3 linked regions of the Macaca fascicularis genome follow. The protein of the gene in region 2 purifies or fractionates together with the protein of the main gene of each other region. This does not show direct contact. Links are inferred from orthologs where the notes say so. Each region holds a gene or a part of one and is shown on either strand. Other genes may lie near its edges. The genes, in order: POLR3B, POLR3G and POLR2E.

Region 1 (6,955 bases), on a different chromosome or scaffold from region 2:
ACATCATTCTCTTATGTCTTTCCTTCCTCTGGCCGGGCCTTCTCACGTCTCTTTTCCTCTGCCAACCTGTAAACGTTGGTGTTCTTCAAAGTTCTATCCCTGGCGATGTCTTTTCTCATTCTCAAGTAGGGTTGGGAATGGAGGATTTCAAACAACACTGTTTGAAAGTGTTGTTTCGCTTCCCCCATCTCATCCCACAGCCCCCCATTTCCAAATGTGGGCTCTTTCAAAGGCAGTGACCCTGTCTATCCTGTTTACCACAGTGCCTGGCACATATAAGACTCCAATAAATACTGAATGAATAAATAAATGAGTGAGTGAATATCACTGCTGCAGTAAGCTACTGGGTATGGGCCTGTCGCCTCCAACTATTGACTGCGCAGTGATACCTTACATCCTCAGAGGCTACTTAAACTCAGTACATCCAAAATTAAATCTTCCCCCAGCTCCATTCCCAATCTCAGTGAATATCACCATTTATCCTAGTCAATCCCAAATTAGATACCCGGTAGTCCTAACTTTCTGACTTCTCTTAATCGACAGGAAAACAAAAATTCTACTGAGTTGACCTCCTTGTAACCTTCCTCGCATTTATCCTCTGCTCCTGTGCCAGTTGAGGCCCTCGTAATCTTTCACCTGGACTGCGGCAATACTTCCTTTCTAATCTTTCTGCTCATCCCTTTCAATGCTAACACACTAAAGCCAGTGTGCATGTCCTCATGTGCACAGCTGAGCACCTCATTCTCTACACCTCTTCAGTGCCTCCCCACCCTCTTCACCATGTCTCGAGCCCACAGTGAGGCATACATCACACGCTGTGCTTGCAGCTGTACTTGTGCCCACGCCTCCTCCTTCTATCTGGAATGCTTCCCCACCACCACACTTCATCCACATCTGGCAAACTCAGTTCAGGCATCACATCCCAGCTACATTTGTAATACCAATACACCCCTCGCCTACTTGTATCACAGTACCTATTGCATGTTATTCCACCTGCTTACATGTCTCTCTCTATAAGCCTATAACACACTGGGAGGCAGAAGACACATTTTTTGAACTTATATAAACCCTGTGAATAATACACCACCAGGTAAGTACTCAGTAATACTGATAAATATTTATTCAACAAATAACTGATTAATTGGCTCCAAAGCTTGTGTTATTTCTACCATACTACCATGCTGCTGTACTACCATAAGCACAAAAAAATACACACCAGGCATGGCCAGTTCAAGTAAAACTGAGCTCTTATCTAGAAAAAGTTTTAGAGAAAACACTGAAGTTGGAAAGTTTAAGTAAATATTTTAATATCTCAATTTAAAAGGAAATGGCAGCAAGTAGTAGAGATCTACCATCTTCTAGGAGACTCAGGAAAGGCCTTCCTAGGGAAGTTGTATCATAGATATGTGGGATTTAATCTACAAATAGGAATGGGAGAGTGATCCAGAAGGAATTGTACGAGCAGAGTAGAAAGATCTCAAGGGAGGGAGAGGGGAGAATCATGGGAAAAGACGCTAGAGAAGTAACTACTGGTCAGACTGAGGAAATTTATTACAAACATGGTAAACACTAGATTTTGCCCTAAAAGCAACAGAGATTGAAGAATTTTAACCAAGGGAGCAACATAACCATGTTTGTGTGTTTAGATGGACAGCTCTGGCTGCAGAGCAAGGAACAGACTGGATTGGGACAAGTCAGGTGCCAGGTAGGAGAGTTAGGACGTAAGAGAGGAGAGTGGTTCTGGGCTGGAAAACAGTGGGAATGAAGTTTCAGATAAGCATAGATTAAGAACTCAAGACTTTTTAGAGGTGATGGTGGACTGGATCCAGAGAGCAGGAAGAGGAACTGTTATTCTTGAATCAGAAGGCTGGAATTATAGCACTGATCACTTCATAGCTGTGTAAATTCACACAATACATAGAACTCTCCCAGGCTTATTTTTTCAGCTCTCTGGAGAAGCAATCCGATCAGCAGTTAGGGATGAAGACTAGAGTCAGACTGACAAGAGTCAGATTAGCCACTTACCAGCCTTCTAATGCAAGGCTATTTACTTCACATCTCTGGGCCTCTCTGGCAAAATGGGGGTGAAAATAGCACTTATTTCAGAGGATTAAATAACATAACGCATGTTATGGTTAAACAGAGCCTGGTACATTAGCAAGTGCTCAGGGAATGCTGGCTCCTTGATATTTACTTTTCATGGTTAAAATACAGTTTTGCAGCGGGGCGCGGTGGCTCACGCCTGTAATCCCAGCACTTTGGGAGGCCGAGGTAGCGGATCACGAGGTTAGGAGTTCGAGACCAGCCTGGCTAACACAGTGAAACCCCTTCTCTACTAAAAATACAAAAATTAGCTGGGGATGATGGCGGGCATCTGTAATCCCAGCTACTCGGGAGGCTGAGGCAGGAGAATGGCGTGAACCTGGGAGGCGGAGCTTGCAGTGAGCTGAGATCGCGCCACAGCACTCCAGCTTGGGTGACAGAGCGAGACTCCACCTCAAAAAAAAAAAAAAACACACACACACACACAGTTTTACCTGATGAAGATCAGCAGCCTATTGCATGCACTCATAGACTGAATCTGACGAACTGCTAATCCAATTTCCTTAACTTGTCAAATTATTATAAAGAGGTTTTGTTTTCTTTTCCTCAAGACAAGGTCTCATTCAGTCACCCAGGCTGGAGTGCAGTAGCACAATCACAGCTCACTGCTGCCTCGACCTTCCAGGCTCAAGTGATCCTCCCACCTCGGCCTCCTGAGTTGCCGGGACAACAAGTGCACAGCACCACACACGGCTAATTCTTGTATTTTTTGCAGAGATAGCGTTTTGCCATGTCGCCCACGCTGGTCTCAAACTCTTGAGCCCAAGTGATCCGCTCGCCTTGGCCTCCCAAACTGCTGGTATTACCGGAGTGAGTCATCACGCCTAGCCAAGGAGGTTCCTATAATCCGACAGATTTACTCATTATATCACTTTCCTGCTTAAACCCTTCAAAAGCTCTGCTCCAAGACAAAGTCCAAGCTCTGTCAGATGTTTATTGAAACTTTTCATAATCAAGACCCTTACTTAACCCTGTCTTTTATCTCTCCTCCTCTATTTTTCTTCACTCGAATACTACTGGATTTACTTTCCTTCCTCAAAAACATCCAATGGTCTTGCCGAGGAGGTTTCAAGTATCTTATTCTCTCTCCCTGAAATCTCTCCTTTGCTATCGTCTCCGGCCACGTCTCCACTTCCCTATTCCACGTCAGTGTAGATTTTGAGGCTCAGAGAGGTTATGATATGTGCCTTATCAGATAACAAAACATGTCGACAGCCATACTTCATTGGGCAGCTCGCTGTGAGACAGCTGTCCTTAACTTCTGAGAATCTGATGAAAGCTATGGACTCTCTCCCTGAGAAAACACACAGGCAAATTCTTTAGTAAATATTCAGGGCGTTTAAAATTCCCCTGCAACCCAAACTTGAACTTCAGGTTAAAAGGCAAGATGACTAGCTTGGAATTCAGACGATCTGGTTTTACCCCCACAGCCAGCTGCGGTGCTTCATGCAAGCAGCCTGAGCTCCCTGGCCCCCAGTGTCCTTTGTAAGACTGCAAACATGCAATACGTCCCCCACAGTAAGTGCGAGGGCCAGTCCTCCCCACGCACACCTATGCCGGAAGAGCTCCAACCCGAGAGCCAGCCGCGGGGCTTCTCGACCCCTGCAGCGGCTGACAGCTCCTCTGGGCTCAGCCTTCACTCGCGCACGCGGATGCCGGCTCTGGAAAAAGACTGGCACGCGCGACGCTCTGAGCATGCGCAGATGCCCGGCGCATGCGCACAAACCTCCAGCCCGCCCCTTAGCGGCCCGGCACTCCCGGCAACGCCCCCTCAGGGCGCATCCAGGCCCCTGACGCTCCATGAGTGCCTGGCACTCACCTCTACAGTCGGGATCGGCGCAGCCAGCTGCTCCGGAGTCAGGTTCCCAAACTCCTCCGCTAGCACGTCCATGCTGCTCACGAAGGAGGAAGAAGCAGATAGAACCTCCGCGCCCGCCTTCCCTGCACCAAGCGAACTGCAAGACTCCCGGAGAACGGTGCGCGGAGGCCTAAACTGTCCCCGCCGTGTTAGCTAGAGACGCGGTAGAAAGGTTCCGCCTGCTCCCTGCCCGAATCTGCGGTGGAACCCGGATGTGGCCGAGGCCGAGTAGGGAAACTGCGCCTCCTGGTGTAGCTCAGAGGTCTGGCGCGGGGAATCCTAAGCCCCAGCTGTCAGGTTTCTTGCCAATTCTCTGATAATTGAGACCAGGAAAACATAGTGGTTGTCATTTTAAAAGTAATCCGAAGAAAAGTGTAAACGCATAATTTACCCAACTTGAACCACTGAGGCAGAGAATTGTTTAATGTAGTCCAAAATTATATGCGTTGTTTAGTATGGAAGAGCAGGAAACGTCCCAAATGCCTACTAATAGGAGATAAATTAAATAAATGATGGTACATGCGTGTGATGGAAGAGTGTTCAAAATTCTCAAAAGCACTGATGGAAGATGTAGGAGTAAAGACCAGTGTATGGAGAAATTTAGTATGAAAAGATGACATTTACGTTAGTAGGGGAAGGATGGCCTGTCCAGTAAATAATGTTTGAAGAGCTGATTACCCATTTGGGGAAAACACATGTAAGTGAAACCTTTGTGGATTAAATATTGAAATGTTAACAAAAACTTAGAAGAAAATGTAAGTGCAGATATTCATAACGTTGAGATGATGAAAGTTTTCAAGATAGCAACACTCAAGTCATAAAGGATTTCATAGTATAATTCTAAACACGATTTTATGATTCCACGGAAAATTTTTAATTTTCTGAACAGAATTTTTAAAATCGCCAATGAATAGAATTAATAAAAAAATAAATTGGCAGAAGACAAAGGGCTGGTCTCTCTAGTTTACAATGAGCTCATACAAATCAATGGAAAGAAAAATCCTATTAGAAAAAACAAGGCAAAGTGCACCAATTAATTAATGGGTACGGAGTTTCGATTTGGGAAGATGCAAAAATTCTGTAAATGGATAGAGGTGATGGTTGCAGAACAATGTGAACGTATTTAATGCTGCTGACCTGTACATCATTTTAAAGGGTTAAAATGCTACGTTTTATGTATATTTTAGAACAATAAGAAAAACTATGAAAATTTGTAAGTACATGTATGCTTTCCAATTTCTCCCTCATAAAGGTAGAACCCTTGCACCAGGTTAATTCTTCTTATTTCCTAAAGAGCTACTTAAATTTCAGTACTTGTATTTTCTACGTGTTGCACTGACATCTGAAATTTGAGAAGAATGGGAAAAAGACCAAAAGTAGAATCAGCCCTGCCTTTGAAGTTCTTACAATTTACTTATTATGGAGACAAGATACAACTTGTGTCTCATCCTTGTGCATTACCAGATTGCAACCGATTTAGCATCTAGCCTGGAAGGGACTGCGAAAGTGATTTATAGATGGCAGAGGATCTCAAGGTTGGCTCAAGTGTGTTGGTTGTCTATGCCAAAGTCTTCTTTGCTTTCCATTATCAAGGTGGTTCTCCAACTTTAGGGTGTATTAGAATCACCTGGAGAGCTTGTTAAACCATTCTCAGCTTTCTGATTGGTAAACTGGGGCTGAAAGTTTGCTTTTTTTTTTTTTGAGATGGAGTCTTACTCTGTCATCCAGGCTGGAGTGCGGTGGCATGACCTTGGCTTACTGCACCTTCCCAGATTCAAGCGATTCTCCTGCCTCAGCCTCCCGAGTAGCAGGGATTACAGGCACGTGCCACCATACCTAGGAAATTTTTTTTTTTTTTTTTTTTTTTTTTTTTTTTTTTTTTAGAGACGGTGTTTTGCTGTATTGGCCAGGCTGGTCTCAAACTCCTGACCTCAGGTGATCCGCCTGCCTCGGCGTCCCAAAGTGCTGGGATTATAGGCATGAGCTAGCGTGGTCTTGGCTCACTGCAACCTCAGCCTCCGAGGTTCAAGCGATTCTCCTGCCTTAGTAGCTGGGACTACAGGCATGTGCCACCACACCCAGCTAAACTTTTATTTTTAGTAGAGACGGGGTTTCACCATGTTGGCCAGGCTAGTCTTGAACTCCTGACCTCAGGTGATTCACCTGCCTTGGCCTCCCAAAGTGCTAGGATTACAGGCATGAGCCACCACACCCGGACTGCAAATTTGCATTTTTAGTAAGTTCCCTGCTGCTGCCTTCTAGTGATTATGCATTGGAAATCACTAACCTAAGACTTATCACTCAATGCCATATCCTCTTTTTATGTGTCTAATTATCCAGACTGAGCTCTTGGTACAGGAACTATCTTGTTTGTCTTTGTATTTCCAACTTCTAACCCATCAGTTGTTCCTGAATATATTTGTGTAGAGTAAGTGAGTTGAAAGAAAAAATTGCAACGGGTGAAGTTTGATATTATACTCACTTTTTAAGAATCCGGATTGCTTCTAGTTTCTCTTCAAAAGCAGGAAGCTCCTGTAGCCATGGTCCCAAAGTCCTATATGGCAACAATTGGCTAATGCTGAATGGTGTTGGCCCTTAGACCATAGCTGCCACAGTCCCTTACAGTCCTTCCCCCAGGTCAAATCTATAACTTCTTCCTGATACCCTGAGGAACTGGAGTTTTGAAACCAAGAAGCCAGGAACAGTCTCATGATTTCTTTGTTTTCTGCTGCCATGTCATTTTCCTGAGGTATTAGTACAAAAAGACCAGTGGTTTGAATAGAGGGGTGAGAAATTAGGGAAAAGAGATCACAAGGCCGGGCTCAGTGGCTCACGCCTGTAATCCCAGCACTTTGGGAGCCCGAAGCAGTGGATCACGAGGTCAGGAGTTTGAAACCAGCCTGGCCAACATGGTGAAACCCTGTCTCTACTAAAACTACAAAAATTAGCCCGAGGTGCTGGCACGCACCTGTAATCCCAGCTACTCGGGAGGCT
Region 2 (7,057 bases):
ATGCACAAACAGATAGAAGCAGACACAGAAGCTAGAGGAGGCAGTGAAAGTTAAGTCACAGTATTATTCCTGATGAATGACCCCTAAATTGCTACAATCAGGATAGGTATCCTGACCTGTCTACTTCCAATCCCCCATCTAAAAGTAGAGGTTTACCAGCTCTGTTCTCTCTCCCATGTTCCGTTTCTTCCACCTCTGCTTCAGTTCAGACCCTCTCATCTTTCACCTGGACCTCTAAAACAGAACAAATAAACTTCCTGTGGCCAGACTCTCCCTTTCAATCCACTCTGCAGTCTAGGGTATCTTTCTGGAATACAAATCTTGACATGTGACTCTCCTTAAAAGAGCTTTGGAGTCTTTCTGCCTCTCACTACATGCACCCCACGCTGTGGCCAAATCAACCAGTGCATGCCTGGAGTGCCCTTCCTGCCACATCCACCTAAGCCCCAGGTTCTTTTCAGATGCCATGCAAATAACACTTTCTCCATGACAATTTCTTCCACCCTACATGGAGATAGGCCTCTCCCTTCTCTGTTTCCCAAGTACTACTCTGCTTTTAAGCCCTTTTTACAATCATGTTGTAACTGTCAGCTCTTATCTGTCTCCCAGGGAGGCTCTTCAATCCAATCAAGTATTTATTAAGCACCCTCATCATCAGGCTGTCTTCTATGAATTGGGAATACAGTAGTGAGCAAAACAAAATCTCTCCTCTCATGAAGCTCAGAGTCTGAGGTAAGAAACTGACAAAATATATTTTATAGGAAAGTCAGGAAGTGACAAGAAGAAAAATAAAGACAGGAAACATGGATGCTATTGTGGAAAAGGTGGCTGAAGAAGTCTTCTCTTATTCAGTGATATCTGAGCATAAGCCTGACAAAAGTAAAGCAAAGAGCCATGCAAAGAATTAAAAAAGGATATCCAGTGAGATGTGGGATGCAGGCAGAGGGACCTGGAAGTGTGAAAGTCTCCTTGGAAACTTATTCTCCTTTTTATGTCCCCATTACTAACCAAAGCCCGGCAAAAGGCCAATGATTATTGTGCAAATTATTGCTGAGCTCATGGCCTGGTAGAGATATCACTCCATTTCACCACTAGTGGCTCACTTCTGCCTAGAGAAAAAGTACCCAGACTACTGAGGGCCCTATATTACTCTGCTGAGAATGCCCTAAAAGTAGTCTTTTAAGGCCAGCTCAAAAGCCACTCCTCAAGAATCCCTTCCATCTGTATTCTTATTGAATCTAGTTTTTACTGTCTCTGTGGTACATACCCTGTAATGCTTTATCTTCCAAGTAATTGTGTACAGACATTATCTTCCTTCAAACTCCTGAGAATCCAGATTATGACCTTTTTACACAATTCTCTCATGAATTATCTAGCTCAGCGACTTGTGCATAAGGATAGCCCCCAACTGAGTAACCGAATAATCTCTACCAAGATTAGCAAAGTATTTAGAAAAGCTGCATGCCCACCAAAGACTTCAGGAGGGTAGCAAAAGAGCGTATACCTCTCCTTCCATGAAGGCTTATTAGTAGTTGTCACAGTAACGGTTTTCATAATTCTTTTGTAATGCTGTCTCATGAGTCTCCTTATCATTTTTCCTGGCTAAGTTGGGAGGTTAGTCAAGTTCTCAAGGGAATTTCTTAAGCCTAAATAGATGTTTCTGGCCGGGTACAGTGGCTCACGCCTGTAATCCCAGCACTTTGGGAGGCCGAGGCAGGCGGATCACTTGAGGTCAGGAGTTCAAGACCAGCCTGGTCAACATAGTGAAACCCCATTTCTACTAAAAATACAAAATTAGCCGGGTGCGGTGGCGGGCGCCTGTAATCTCAGCTCCTTGGGAGGCTGAGGCAGGAGAATCGCTTGAACCCAGGAGGCGGAGGTTGCAGTGAGACGAGATTGCGCCACTGCACTCCAGCCTGGGCAATAGAGACTCTGTCTCAAAAAAACAAAAAACAAAAAAAAAACCTAAATAGATGCTTCAATAGCTGGGAAGTGGGGAGTGGAGACAGTGACCTGATGTTAACAGAGCGGATGATTTAAGAGGCTGGCGGGGCCACACCCAGTCATTATTCACTTTTCCCGTCCTTACCAGGTGCTCCTTTTCTCTATTTGAGCCTTTCTACCAACTCGCGTTTCTCTCTTCCAAGGACAGACCAAATCAAAAAAAAAAAAAAAAGAGGGTGGATACAGAATTTTATTTTTTAGAAGAAAAGACAAACCATATTAACAACTTCCTTCCCTACGATATAAAATGCCAACAGTTACGAAAACAGATACTGAACAGTCGGTCCTTAGCTGCAATCTGCGGCAATGACTAGTGCCTCAACAAATCATAAAGTCACTGGATTTGGAAAATAACCTACTATCAGTAAGAGCATAAATACCCTTCTAACTCACTGCAAACAGTCCCAGGAGTGGAGACTGGGTAAGATCTGGAAATTCGACTTAAAAAAATTCTGAAGGGAGCAGGACAAGGAGGGGAGGTACCAAGCTATCTCCAAACACCCCTCAACCCAGAGGCGCTTTAATGAATCTCTACCCCCGACTTCCCCCACAACTTCTCCACATGCCCCTTTAACTCCCCTCTACCCTCACCACCCCTCCCAAGTCTTCGATTGCTTCCTCGGTTACCTGTTCCCTAAGTCTCGAAGCTTGGGCAAAACTCTGCAGCCGAAGCGCCGGCCGGCAAGTAAGGGGTGCTGGCAGAGAACACCGGCGCTCGAGTGCCGTTCGTTCCACCTCAGGAGAAACTCGCACCGCCCTCCACGCGGCCCCAGGACCGCGGCGTGAGCCCTACCAACTAGCCCCGCCCACTCCCTAGGCAGGCCCCACCCCCTCGGCAAAGAGCTTTTTTGCCCTTGGCAGGCTCCGTAGGCTCCGTACAACCTGCTAGGCCCCACACTTTCCGCGCCAGCTAGGAGTGCGCGCTGTGGGGAGCCAGTGGGTGGGCGGTCCTAGCGCTTCCCACCCTTGCTCCGGGCCTCTGCTGTCACACGCCCGGGGTGGCGAAAGGGTCACCACCTGAGTCTCCATTCTGCTGCAGTGGTCCCTGCGTTACAGCTCCCTCGTGGTGCGCCTGCCGAGGCTGCTGTAGCTCCTGCGCCCCCGTGCTGGTGGCGCAGTCTCTGCTTGCTGCCGACCTGGCGGGAGGGTACGAGAGCGCACGCTACTGGCAGCGTCGGTCTGCGTCCTTCCTCCTCCTATTCTGACTCCCGCATCCCCCGCCCCCGCCTCACTCAACGCCTCCTCCCTGGCTGCAGGCAGACGGCTCCACACAGCCGCAGCGCCCGGTGTTTACACAGCCTGTGGGAGACTCGCACGCCCACACTCACCCCGCCTGGCTGCATCCCTGCCCAGCATGTCGGCGCTCGAGTGGTACGCCCACAAGTCTCTAGGCGATGGTATTTTCTGGATTCAAGAACGCTTCTACGAGTCGGGCAACCGTGCCAACATCTGGCTGGTGCGCGGCTCCGAGCAGGACGTGGTGATCGATACAGGCCTGGGGCTGCGCAGCCTCCCTGAGTACCTGTACTCTTCCGGCCTCTTGCAGGACCGCGGGGCCAAAGAGGACGCGGCGCGCCGGCCGCTGCTTGCCGTGGCCACCCACGTGCACTTCGACCACTCCGGCGGCCTCTACCAGTTCGACCGGGTGGCCGTGCACCACGCCGAGGCCGAGGCGCTGGCTCGCGGGGACAACTTTGAGACCGTGACCTGGCTCTCCGATAGCGAGGTGGTGCGGGCGCCCAGCCCCGGCTGGAGGGCCAGACAGTTCCGGGTACAGGCGGTGCAGCCCACCCTCATCCTGCAGGATGGTAATGGGCCCCCGCGGGCGCGCGCTCTCGTTAAGGGAGGGTATTGGGAAGAGACTGTCCGAGTGCCGCATGTTGCAGACTTGCGTGGCCATAAAGGGGATTATTTTGGCACCTCGCGGAACCACTTCTGTTACACCCTTCCCTAAGTAAAAACCTACTTGACCAGAGCCAAAGCCATCACAGCCTTCCCTGCCAGAGGCCAGCTCTGGCACCGTATAGCAATTCTGAGTACTTCTTTGAAAGCCGGCACTACCCCTCCCTAGCCAGTTTCCTGAGTCGGCTGTAGTAGTAACACTACAGAGACTTGTGACTGACTAGGGATTTCTTATTCTTTCCCTAAGCACCTACCCGACATTTCCAGGAGCTTTCGTAGTGAGTAGACTTTTAAGGAATGACGCCCCACGGGGAGTGCATGTCATGATCTGTGCTTTTGAGAACTGCAGACTTCATCAGCTTGGTCACCACCGGGTATGGGCAGTTCCCACCTGTAGCCTTAGAAAGTCATCAGAGCAGCGATTCCAATCCGCTAATGCGATTGGAAACCTCTCAGATAGGTTTCTGTTCTTGATGTTGACTCACGATTGCAAAAGCTTAATAGTAATCATAAACGTAGAATAACTTTATGACAGGTATCTGGTCCGGCTGAAAGCAAAGCCTGAGAAAGATCAATAAGGAAGTAATTTTCGGTAGAGGTAAATTATGTGGACTAATGCATAGGTAGCCATGGTCCTCTTTGGCTCTGTGAAAGACAAATATGGAATTCAGAGAGAAATCCATGGGATGAAAATAAATAGATTAGGGCCTCAGCCCATTTCCCTACGCAAGGACTTAAATAATTGAGCTAATTTGCCACATCAGCAATATTTGGTATATTAGTTTTCTATTTTCTTTTTAGTATACTTTTGATTTCATTTTATCCTCACAACACATTTAAAGTGAGGCCACTGACCTCCCAGTTAAATGGCTTGCCTGAGACAGATCATGATAAAAGCTAGGATATGAATCTAGGCACAATAGATCAAGGCATGCAGAACGTACATAAATCCTACCTCATAAATATATGATGATAATTCTGAGTAGAATGTGAAAGGCCCCTTCTTTCCTTTAGTGTGAGACTATTTTAATTACCAATTTGGTTTATTAAAACATGCCTCTATATAGTAGAAAAAGCCAGTTGCTGCAGTATAGTGAAGCTCACTTTATGACCAAACAATATGGCAAATAATGAAATATTTTACAAAAATCAGTTTATCTCACAGATGACATCTTACTCATTTGAGATATTTTAAAAATTGCAGTATTATATTGTATTACTTATCGGTGCTAAAAAAAAAAAAATTGCAAGATTCTGTACCTCAACCCCACCCAACAAAAGTCTTCATTAAAGTTTTAAATCTAAAATTAAAAAAAAAAAAAAAACTGGTTTAGATGGGAGTCTTACATTATCTGACAATATGAGATGAAAGTACATGTACATTAAATTTTAATTTACATTAAAGTCACACCTAATTACTGTATTTCTTGACAAAAATGGGTACTTTTAGGGGTAAGATTTCCATGCAGTTGATGGGTATTCAGACTAAATTCTGACACCCGGACCAAAAATGTTTACATTAGTATTAAAATATACTTAAATTATTGAAAAGAATAAATTACTTTTGAAATTGACTTTTGATTCTGTATCAGCAATGGGAAATCAAAGGTGAAAGAATGATAGGGATTGTTTTATAGATGAAGAAAGAACCCATGTAGGCCTGAGTATCATGCAAGAGGTCACATCACCCATCTCGGAAAGAGCTGGGACTAGAACCCAGGTTTACCAGTTGATGGTAGAATCCTAACATTTTGGGAGCTGAAAGGGGCCTGCAAACTACTTGTGTGGTACTTTAAGCCTTTAAAAGGGTGAAAAGAAAGCTTAATGTTTACCAGACACTTTGAAGGTGATAGTACTGTGTTATCAAAAGTTGTTTTTCATGAGGAGCTGGATGCCCCACCCTCTCAAGCAGTGTCTACTTTCCTCTCTTCTCAAGAATATTAATTTCCCATATCTTCTGAATGATGTGGCCTGCTAACTTGCTGTTAACATAATCCAGATGCCTGGGAGGATACATAAAATATTTGTATTAAAAATTTGTATACAGTTACACACATGAACAGCATAAAGTATTCATTGCTTTGGTAGAATGCAAGGAGCTGAAATCATTTATTACATTTCCTTTAATGAATTGATGATTGCTTGTCATGGAGAAGCAAAAATCTGTGCACTGTATCTCTAACCCAAAAGCCAACTTGTAAATGAGGGACAAGGAGAGAATAGCCATATAATCCAGTGCATTATCTGGATGAAAAAGCAACTCGCCTTATTAATAGTGAAATGGTTATCTTCCTCTAAGATAGCAGTAGACCCTAAATTGACATAGCACATACCTCTTGAGTGGGCAAACATCATTTTGCCCATTTTTCACTAAAGTGATACAAAGTTCTGGCATTGTGATCCCTATTACATACATGTTTAAACCATATGCCCAGTGTCACCAAGATATCTCAGAGGCGTGATTTCAGGCGGACTTAAGTCATTTGCAGAGGCTAAAACAGGTTGTAGGAAGGTGGTGAATTGAACAGACACATCTAATTTGGCTCTCTTCCGAAGCACCATTAATGTACTGTAAAGAAACCGTGATTTAAATGTAAATCCCCATTGGCTGGGGGAACTGTTTCGGATGCTAGAAAGTAGATGTGGTGACTAAGTTAACAGTTTTATACTATGCCAGCAAAGGGAAATTAAGAGCCAATTCAGTTTCCACCGCAGAAGCCTTAAAAAACACAGGAATTAGCAATAGGCAGTACCTCAGTGGCGGCAAAGGGAAGAAGAGTAAGTAGAATTTCCTGAAAACCTTTTAAGAAGCTCTTAAAACTCTAGTGAATGCCCCTCCCGCTCCCATCCAATTAGTTTATTCTCTAGGGATAGTAAAACAAAGGAGTTTCTTGATTGAAGGATGCCAAATTACTATTGAGCTTAAGGGCTCAGTATGGAAAACAGGAGAAAGAAAGAGTGTGTTTGTGTGTGTGTGTGTCCGTCCTACTAGTTTCCCAGAAGGATGAGAGCCAGGCCTTTCCCCACCCAGGTAGGAAATTAGAAAAATGTTATCTAGGGAATCTGCCTCCTAGAGGAAAGACGAAGATACCAATGTAGAGGAATACCTAAGAAATCCTGGCCTCTTTCTCTACTGTGAAGCCTCAGTCAC
Region 3 (7,071 bases), on a different chromosome or scaffold from region 2:
GAGGACGGCAGCGCCTGGGGTGGGGCTGGGGTTCAGCAGTGGGGCCATGGACGGGGTGGGAGGGAGGCGGTCAGGGCTTGTCAGACATCCGGGCCACATCCTCCAGGGCACCCTGACGGGCCTGGCCCCAGGCACGTGAGCCGCCTGTGGGCGCTGCTCGGGGAAGGAGGCTGGGGAGGGCGAGAGGCTGGAAGGGCGGGGTGGGGGGTGCCCACCTGCTTGGCGGAGGGCGTCATGCCCTGCTGCACCACGATGAGGGCACGCGTGATGTTCTCTTCCTGCATGCGCTGGCAGTACACCTTGATGGTCTTGATGCCCACCTTGGGCTCCTCTGCAGACAGAAAATGTGCTGGCCTGCACCACCCTGGGCCCTCCCGGCCTTCGCCCACCCAGACCACAGAGCACCTGGGTTCCAGCCCCATTCCACACAGGCGCTTCTCCTGCTCAGACCTCAGCTTCCACGTTTGCAAAACGAGACCTGAGTTGCAGGATCCCAGGACAGGGGAAGAAAGGGCTGAAACCTCATTCACCTAGAGACAAGGACGGGGGCCTGACACCCCTCAGTCACCCAGAGACCAGTGAGAGGCAGAGACCTTCAACTCTGAGAGGCTCCCACCCCGGGCAGTCCTGGGGAGGGGGGGTGACTCAGCACCCACCTGTCCAACAAGCACATCTCACACCCCAGGATGCTCTCTTTAAGAAGCATCACCTGAGGCCGGGTGCAGTGGCTCACACCTGTAACCCTAGCACTTTGGGAGGCTGAGGCAGGTGGATTGCTTGAGGTCAGGAGTTCGAAACCAGCCTGGCCAACATCGTGAAATCCCATCTCTATTAACAGTACAAAAAATTGGCCAGGCACGGTGGCTCACACCTGCAATCCCAGCACTTTGGGAGGCTGAGGCAGGCGGATCACAATGTAAGGAGATCGAGACCATCCTGGCTAACACGGTGAAACCCCGTTTCTACTAAAAATACAAAAAATTAGCTGGGCGTGGTGGCGGGCACCTGTAGTCCCAGCTACTCTGGAGACTAAGGCAGGAGAATGGTGTGAACCCGGGAGAAGGAGCGTGCAGTGAGCCAAGATTGTGCCATTGCACTCTAACCTGGGCGACAGAGCGAGACTCCGTCTCAAAAAACCAAATAAACAAATAAATAAACACTACTAAAAAAAGTAAAAGTAGCCAGGTGAGATGGTGTATGCCTGTAAACCTAGCTTTTTGTGGGAGGCTGAGGTGGGAGGATTGCTTCAACCCAGGAGGTGGAGGTTGCAGTGAGCCGAGATTGCGCCACTGCACTCCAGCCTGGGCGACAGAGAGAGAGACTCAGCCTCAAAAAAAAAAGAACAAGAAGAAGACCGGGCGCGGTGGCTCACGCCTGTAATCCCAGCACTTTGGGAGGCCGAGGCAGGCAGATCACCTGAAGTCAGGAGTTTGAAAGCAGCCTGGCCAACATGGTGAAACCCCCTCTCTACCAAAAATACAAAAAAAAAAAAAAAAAAGCCAGGTATGGTGGTGGGTGCCTGCAGTCTCAGCTACTCAGGAAGCTGAGGCAGGAGAATTTTGAACTCAGGAGGTGGAGGCTGCAGCGAGCCGAAATGGCACCACTGCACTTCAGCCTGGGTGACAGAATGAGACTTTCAAAAAAAAAAAAAGCAGTAGCATCACCCGCTTGGCAGACACGCTCCGTCCACCCCACTGATTAATTCTGGGCACGCGGCTGTGTCCCTAGGCGCTGGTAGTCCCCCAACCACTGAGGGCGCTAGAGCCATCCTGGGGGGGCAGACAGGTGGGGAGACTTCCACGGTGCAGGTGCTGAAACCGAGGGTCCCAGGGGTCCCGGGAAAAGCGGCCTGAGCACAACCTCGAGGGATGAGTAGCGGACGCTGACAGGGCAGAGGCGGCATGGGGTGCAGAGGAATGGGCTGGGGCAGACAGGGGCCACAGCTCACAAGGAGGCTGCGCTGACCCACACGGGGCCTCCTGGGCCAGGCCAAGAAGTTGGAAGTGCACCCAACGGCCAGGATGAGGGAGCCAAGGAACACAGGTAGGGCAAAGGTCATGAGGGGCTGCGGGTGAGTAGGGAGGTCCATGGGACTCTCCTGGTTGGCAGGAAGAAAGGGGACCGATGAGAGGGAAACCAGAAAGAGGCTGCGCATGAGAGGGGTCAGAGGTCCACGGCATCGCCCACAGCAAGGAAGAGGAGGGGAAGTTTTCCTCCCAGATTGGGCAGAGGATCAAACGCTGGGCACGAGGCGGGAGGGAGGGGGTGCTAGCGGCCGGCTCCTCAGCAGGTGCTCGGGCGGCTCCACCAGAACTCCCCCGGGGACCCGCTGCTCACCTGGAAAGAACACAAACATCTGGTCGGTGGGGTCATCGTTGTGGGCCACCAGCACGGTGAGGTCAGTGCGCCGCGGCCGCCCCTCACTCGGCTTGTCTCCAAATTGGGCTTTGAACTCCTCCAGTGTCTGGTCAAGCTCGTCCTGGGTCACTAGGTAGCCACGGTCGTGGCACAGCTGCAGAGAGAAAGAACCAGCTGACCCCAGGGCAGAGACAGGAAGGCGGCCAGAGCTCGTGACCCAGAAGTCAGACCTGCGGCTGCTGCAGAGGACAGAGGTGAACAGCAAACGGAATGAACACTCGCTGTGTGCCCCATGACAGCCATCCTGGCCCCCACAGCCCCACACCACAGGATGGGACCAGCGTGATCCCGAGAGGCTCGCAGAGGTGTCCAGCCTTGACCAAGACCGTCCGTCTATCCAGCCTCACAGGAACCTGGCAGGGGGCAAAGCCCTCCAAACCACTTTGCAGAGCTACCCTAAAGACAGGGACAAAGACGGGGCGTGGGGGGTCACGTCCGCGACCCCAGAGCTCAGGGAGGCCGAGGCAGGAGGGCTGCTTGAGGCCAGGAGTTCAAGGATGCAGTGAGCTATGACTGCACCACTGCGCTGCAGCCTGGGCGACAGAGTGAGAGCTTGTCTCTTAAAAAAAAAAAAAAAAAAGACAGGGACCGAAACAGATGTGACTTCAGGCTGACAATGTTTGCGGCCCGGAGGAAGGAGAATCAGGCTGCGGGGGGCTGCGCTAAAGACAAGGGCATAGGGTGGGGAAGCAAGACAAAACAAAAGCTCCCAAACGGCCCCAACGGCTGAGGGAGGACCCTGAACCGCAGGCCCTCAGACATTTGCCCAGTTTCCAAACCGGAGTCGGCCCAGTGGCCTCCATCTGTCTCAGACCCCGAGGCACGGGTTCCGGGCTCCACGTCCCCATCGAAAGCCCCAGCTCGCCTGCTGCTTCCCAACCACCAACTCCGCCAGCCTCGGATGCTGAGACGCCCTGGGGTTCAGGGCGCAAGGACAAATGGCGACGCTGAATCACAGAGTGGGGCAGGGTCTGGGGGCGCCCCCCGTCCCCATTCGCACCTTCCTCCTCTCGCCGCCATGTGCGCCGCACCAGCCCAAGCCGCCCGCCCACCGCTAAGCCCCGCACCCAGACGTCTCGAAACCCCCTCCCTTCCCCGCTGCCGGCTCAGGTCGGGCCCAGCGCCTGGGATCCCCGGCGGCCTCGGGGTCTCCCGTGTCGGCCGGGCCCTCCGTCGCTGCTGCTGCTGCGACGGGAGTACGAGGAGACGCCGAGCTCGACCTCCCCTCGGGCCCCTGCACCTGCTGCTCGCGCCCCCGCCCCCAACACCACGCGCGGCTCACCTGCATGATGGTCTTGCGGATTTTCCAGAGCCGGTACGTCTCCTCCTCGTCGTCCATCGCCGCCACTCGCACCCGTTTTGCCTGCGAGAACCCGCGCGGACTGCGCCTGCGCCGACTCCCAATCAGGCCCCCTCCACGTAACCCCGCCCCGCGATGGGCTGTCGTCGGCGAACGCCTGAATGCAGCAACTTCCGGGATCGGCAGCGCCAAGGGCAGCCCGAGCCTTGCGAGAACGGCAGTTTGCTGCGCGAGACTCTCCCTCCGTAGTTCTCGTGTGTCTTTGGCTGCACGGCCTCTTGGGAGTTGTAGTTTCCGTTCAACTCCCACGTTGCGGGGACAGTTTAGAATCCCATAAGGCGGGGGCGAAGTGTGGGCGGGGAAACTGAGGCCTGGAATGGGTAAAGGGGCAGCTCGGCTCCTAGGGACGGTCGGGGAGCCTAGTGGGAACTCTATACATATTTGTGCATCAAACTGTACAGGGTTTCCTCTGTTGGCTCCAGGCCAGGTCAGGGTTAATGCCCTTGGGCCTCAGTTTCCCTACCTGTGCAATGGCAAAAAGTGTCCCTACTTTAGGCGGTTAACTGAGAGTCTTAGGTAGAGCTAGGCATATCTCTAGGTGCTTTTTAAGTCCCTTCACCTCTGTCCTCTCCCCTGAGTGCCAGCCTAGCCTGGGTATCTCCCCACCCCAGATCCGTCCTGTCTTTGCAAACCTCACCTCCCCAGATTCACGGAGGATCCCAGCCCAGCACTCGCTGTGTGAAGGCAATCAGTCACTGACTCAGTGACGCATTCATTAATTCAGCATTTACTCAGCAACCTACAGTGATGGTGAATAAAAACAGGCCAGGTATCCCTTGCATTCAGAGACAGGATTTAGTAAAATAACGTTACTGGGCGCAGTGGCTCATGCCTGTAATCCGAGCACTTTGGGAGGCTGAGGTGGGCAGATCACGAGATCAGGAGATCGAGACCATCCTGGCTAACACGGTGAAACCCCATCTCTACTAAAAATACAAAAAATTAGCTGGGCCAGGTGCCCGTAGTCTCAGCTACTCGGGAGGCTGACGCAGGAGAATCTCGTGAACCTGGAAGGGGGAGGTTGCAGTGAGCCGAGATCGCGCCACTGCATTCCAGCCTGGGCCACAGAGTGAGACTCTGTCTCAATAAATAAATAAATAAATAAATAAATAAATAAATAAATAGGACAGGCGCAGTGGCTCATGCCTGTAATCCCAGCACTTTGGGAGGCCAAGGTGGGTGGATCATGAGGTCAGGAGTTCGAGACCAGCCTGGCCAAGATGGTGAAACCCTGTCTCTACTAAAAACTACAAAAATTGGCCAGGCGCGGTGGCTCAAGCCTGTAATCCCAGCACTTTGGGAGGCCGAGATGGGCGGATCATGAGGTCAGGAGATCAAGACCATCCTGGCTAACACAGTGAAACCCCATCTCTACTAAAAAATACAAAAAGCTAGCCGGGCGAGGTGGCGGGCGCCTGTAGTCCCAGCTACTCAGGAGGCTGAGGCAGGAGAATGGCATGAACCCGGGAGGCGGAGCTTGCAATGAGCTGAGATCTGGCCACTGCACTCCAGCCTGGGCGACAGAGCGAGACTCCGTACCCCCCAAAAAAAACTACAAAAATTAGCTGGGTGCGGTGGTGAGCACCTGTAATCCCAGCTACTCGGGAGGCTGAGGCAGGAGAATCGCTTGCACCCGGGCAGGCAGAGTCTGCAGTAAGCCAAGATCATATCACTGCACTCTAACCTGGGCAACAGGGCAAAACTCTTTCTCAAAAAATATATATATAATAATAAATAAATAAATAACAACGTTAGAAAGTGACAAAGCTAAGGAATAAGAGCAGAGAGGCTAAGTGACATGGGGAGAAGGAGAGACCTGTAGTATCAAATGGGGAGGTCACGGAATACAGTGAGGACAGATTCAAGCAAAAGTCCCATTAGATGTAGTGGCTCATGCCTGTAATCCCAGCACTTTGGGTGGCTGAGGTGAGCAGATCATGAGGTCAGGAGTTCGAGACCAGCTTGGCCAACATGGTGAAACCTCGTCTCTACTAAAAATACAAAAATTAGCCAGGTTTGGCAGTGGTCACCTGTAGTCCCGGCTAATCAGGAGGCTGAGGCAGGAGAATCGCTTGAACCCAGGAGGCGGAGGTTGCAGTGAGCTGAGATCACACCACTGCACTCCAGCCTGGGTGACAGAGCAAGTCTCCATCTAGAAAAAAAAAAAAAAAAAAAAAAATCCCATTGGGCACAGTGGCTCACACCTGTAATCCCAGCACTTTGGGAGGCTGAGTGGGAAGGATCCCTTTGTTGTAGTTTTCCAGTTTTTTTTTTGTTGTTTTTTTTTTTTTTTTTTGAGACGGAGTCTCGCTCTGTCGCCCAGGCTGGAGTGCAGTGGCCGGATCTCAGCTCACTACAAGCTACGCCCCCTGGGTTCACGCCATTCTCCTGCCTCAGCCTCCTGAGTAGCTGGGACTACAGGCGCCCGCCACCTCGCCCGGCTAGTTTTTTGTATTTTTAGTAGAACAGGGTTTCACCGTGTTAGCCAGGATGGTCTCGATCTCCTGACCTCGTGATCCGCCCATCTCGGCCTCCCAAAGTGCTGGGATTACAGGCTTGAGCCACCGCGCCCGGCCGGTTTGTGCAAACTTTCTTATCTAACTACCTAACTTTTCTTTCTCACCTTGAGGCCAGGAGTTTGAGACGAGCCTGGGCAACATAGGAAGACCCCATTTCTTTTTTAGTTGTTTTTTTTTTTGAGATCGAGTCTCGCTCTGTCACCCAGGTTGGAGTACAGTGGTATAATCTCGGCTCACTGCAGCCTCTGCCTCCTGGGTTTAAATGATTCTCCTGCGTTGGCCTCCCGAGTAGCTGGAATTACAGGCGTGAGCCACCACACCTGGCTAATTTTTTTGTATTTTTAGTAGAGATGGGGTTTCACCGTGTTAGCCAGGCTGGTCTCGAACTCCTGACCTCAGATGATCTGTTTGCCTCGGCCTCCCAAAGTGCTGGGATTAACAGACATGAGCCACCACACCTGGCCAGGAAGACCTTATTTCTACAAAAAAATGTAAAAATTAGCCGGGCATGGTGGGTGCACCTGTAGTCTCAGTTACTCGGGAGGCTGAGGTGGGAAGATCTAGGATCACCAGAGCCCAGCGGTCGAGGTTGCATTGAGCTGTGATTGTGCCACTGCACTCCGGTCTGGGTCACAGAGACGCTGTCTCCAAACAAACAAACAAACAGAAAACAAAAACCAGAGGAGGAGAGGGAGGAAACCTGGGGGTGCCTGGGGATAGCTGTATCAGGCACACAGCACAGCCAGGTCAGAGGCCCTGAGGCTGCGCCTCGCC

Evidence for each region.
Region 1: the proteins of POLR3G (region 2) and POLR3B fractionate together in Homo sapiens (co-fractionation; 4 studies listed by BioGRID and IntAct, with this or other methods). This does not show direct contact. The link is inferred for Macaca fascicularis from reciprocal best matches to the Homo sapiens genes POLR3G and POLR3B.
Region 3: the proteins of POLR3G (region 2) and POLR2E purify together in Homo sapiens (affinity purification with mass spectrometry; 3 studies listed by BioGRID and IntAct, counting the BioPlex papers as one, with this or other methods). This does not show direct contact. The link is inferred for Macaca fascicularis from reciprocal best matches to the Homo sapiens genes POLR3G and POLR2E.

The regions. Positions count from the first base shown.
Region 1 is NC_088385.1:113,276,456-113,283,410, reverse strand, and holds the start of POLR3B (DNA-directed RNA polymerase III subunit RPC2), read right to left. Parts: upstream 4,070-6,955; 5' UTR 3,995-4,069; coding exon 3,923-3,994; intron 3,767-3,922; exon of another isoform or gene 3,655-3,766; intron 1-3,654. UniProt on the Homo sapiens protein: Catalytic core component of RNA polymerase III (Pol III), a DNA-dependent RNA polymerase which synthesizes small non-coding RNAs using the four ribonucleoside triphosphates as substrates.
Region 2 is NC_088380.1:94,474,561-94,481,617, reverse strand, and holds the start of POLR3G (DNA-directed RNA polymerase III subunit RPC7), read right to left. Parts: upstream 4,289-7,057; 5' UTR 4,161-4,288; intron 3,813-4,160; coding exon of another isoform or gene 3,359-3,812; exon of another isoform or gene 3,263-3,358; intron 3,156-3,262; exon of another isoform or gene 2,632-3,155; intron 2,140-2,631; exon of another isoform or gene 2,090-2,139; intron 230-2,089; exon of another isoform or gene 157-229; intron 1-156. Other genes in the region: acyl-coenzyme A thioesterase MBLAC2, read left to right, coding at 3,359-3,812. UniProt on the Homo sapiens protein: DNA-dependent RNA polymerase catalyzes the transcription of DNA into RNA using the four ribonucleoside triphosphates as substrates.
Region 3 is NC_088393.1:1,664,942-1,672,012, forward strand, and holds the start of POLR2E (DNA-directed RNA polymerases I, II, and III subunit RPABC1), read right to left. Parts: upstream 3,803-7,071; 5' UTR 3,758-3,802; coding exon 3,701-3,757; intron 2,513-3,700; coding exon 2,338-2,512; intron 332-2,337; coding exon 216-331; intron 1-215. UniProt on the Homo sapiens protein: DNA-dependent RNA polymerase catalyzes the transcription of DNA into RNA using the four ribonucleoside triphosphates as substrates.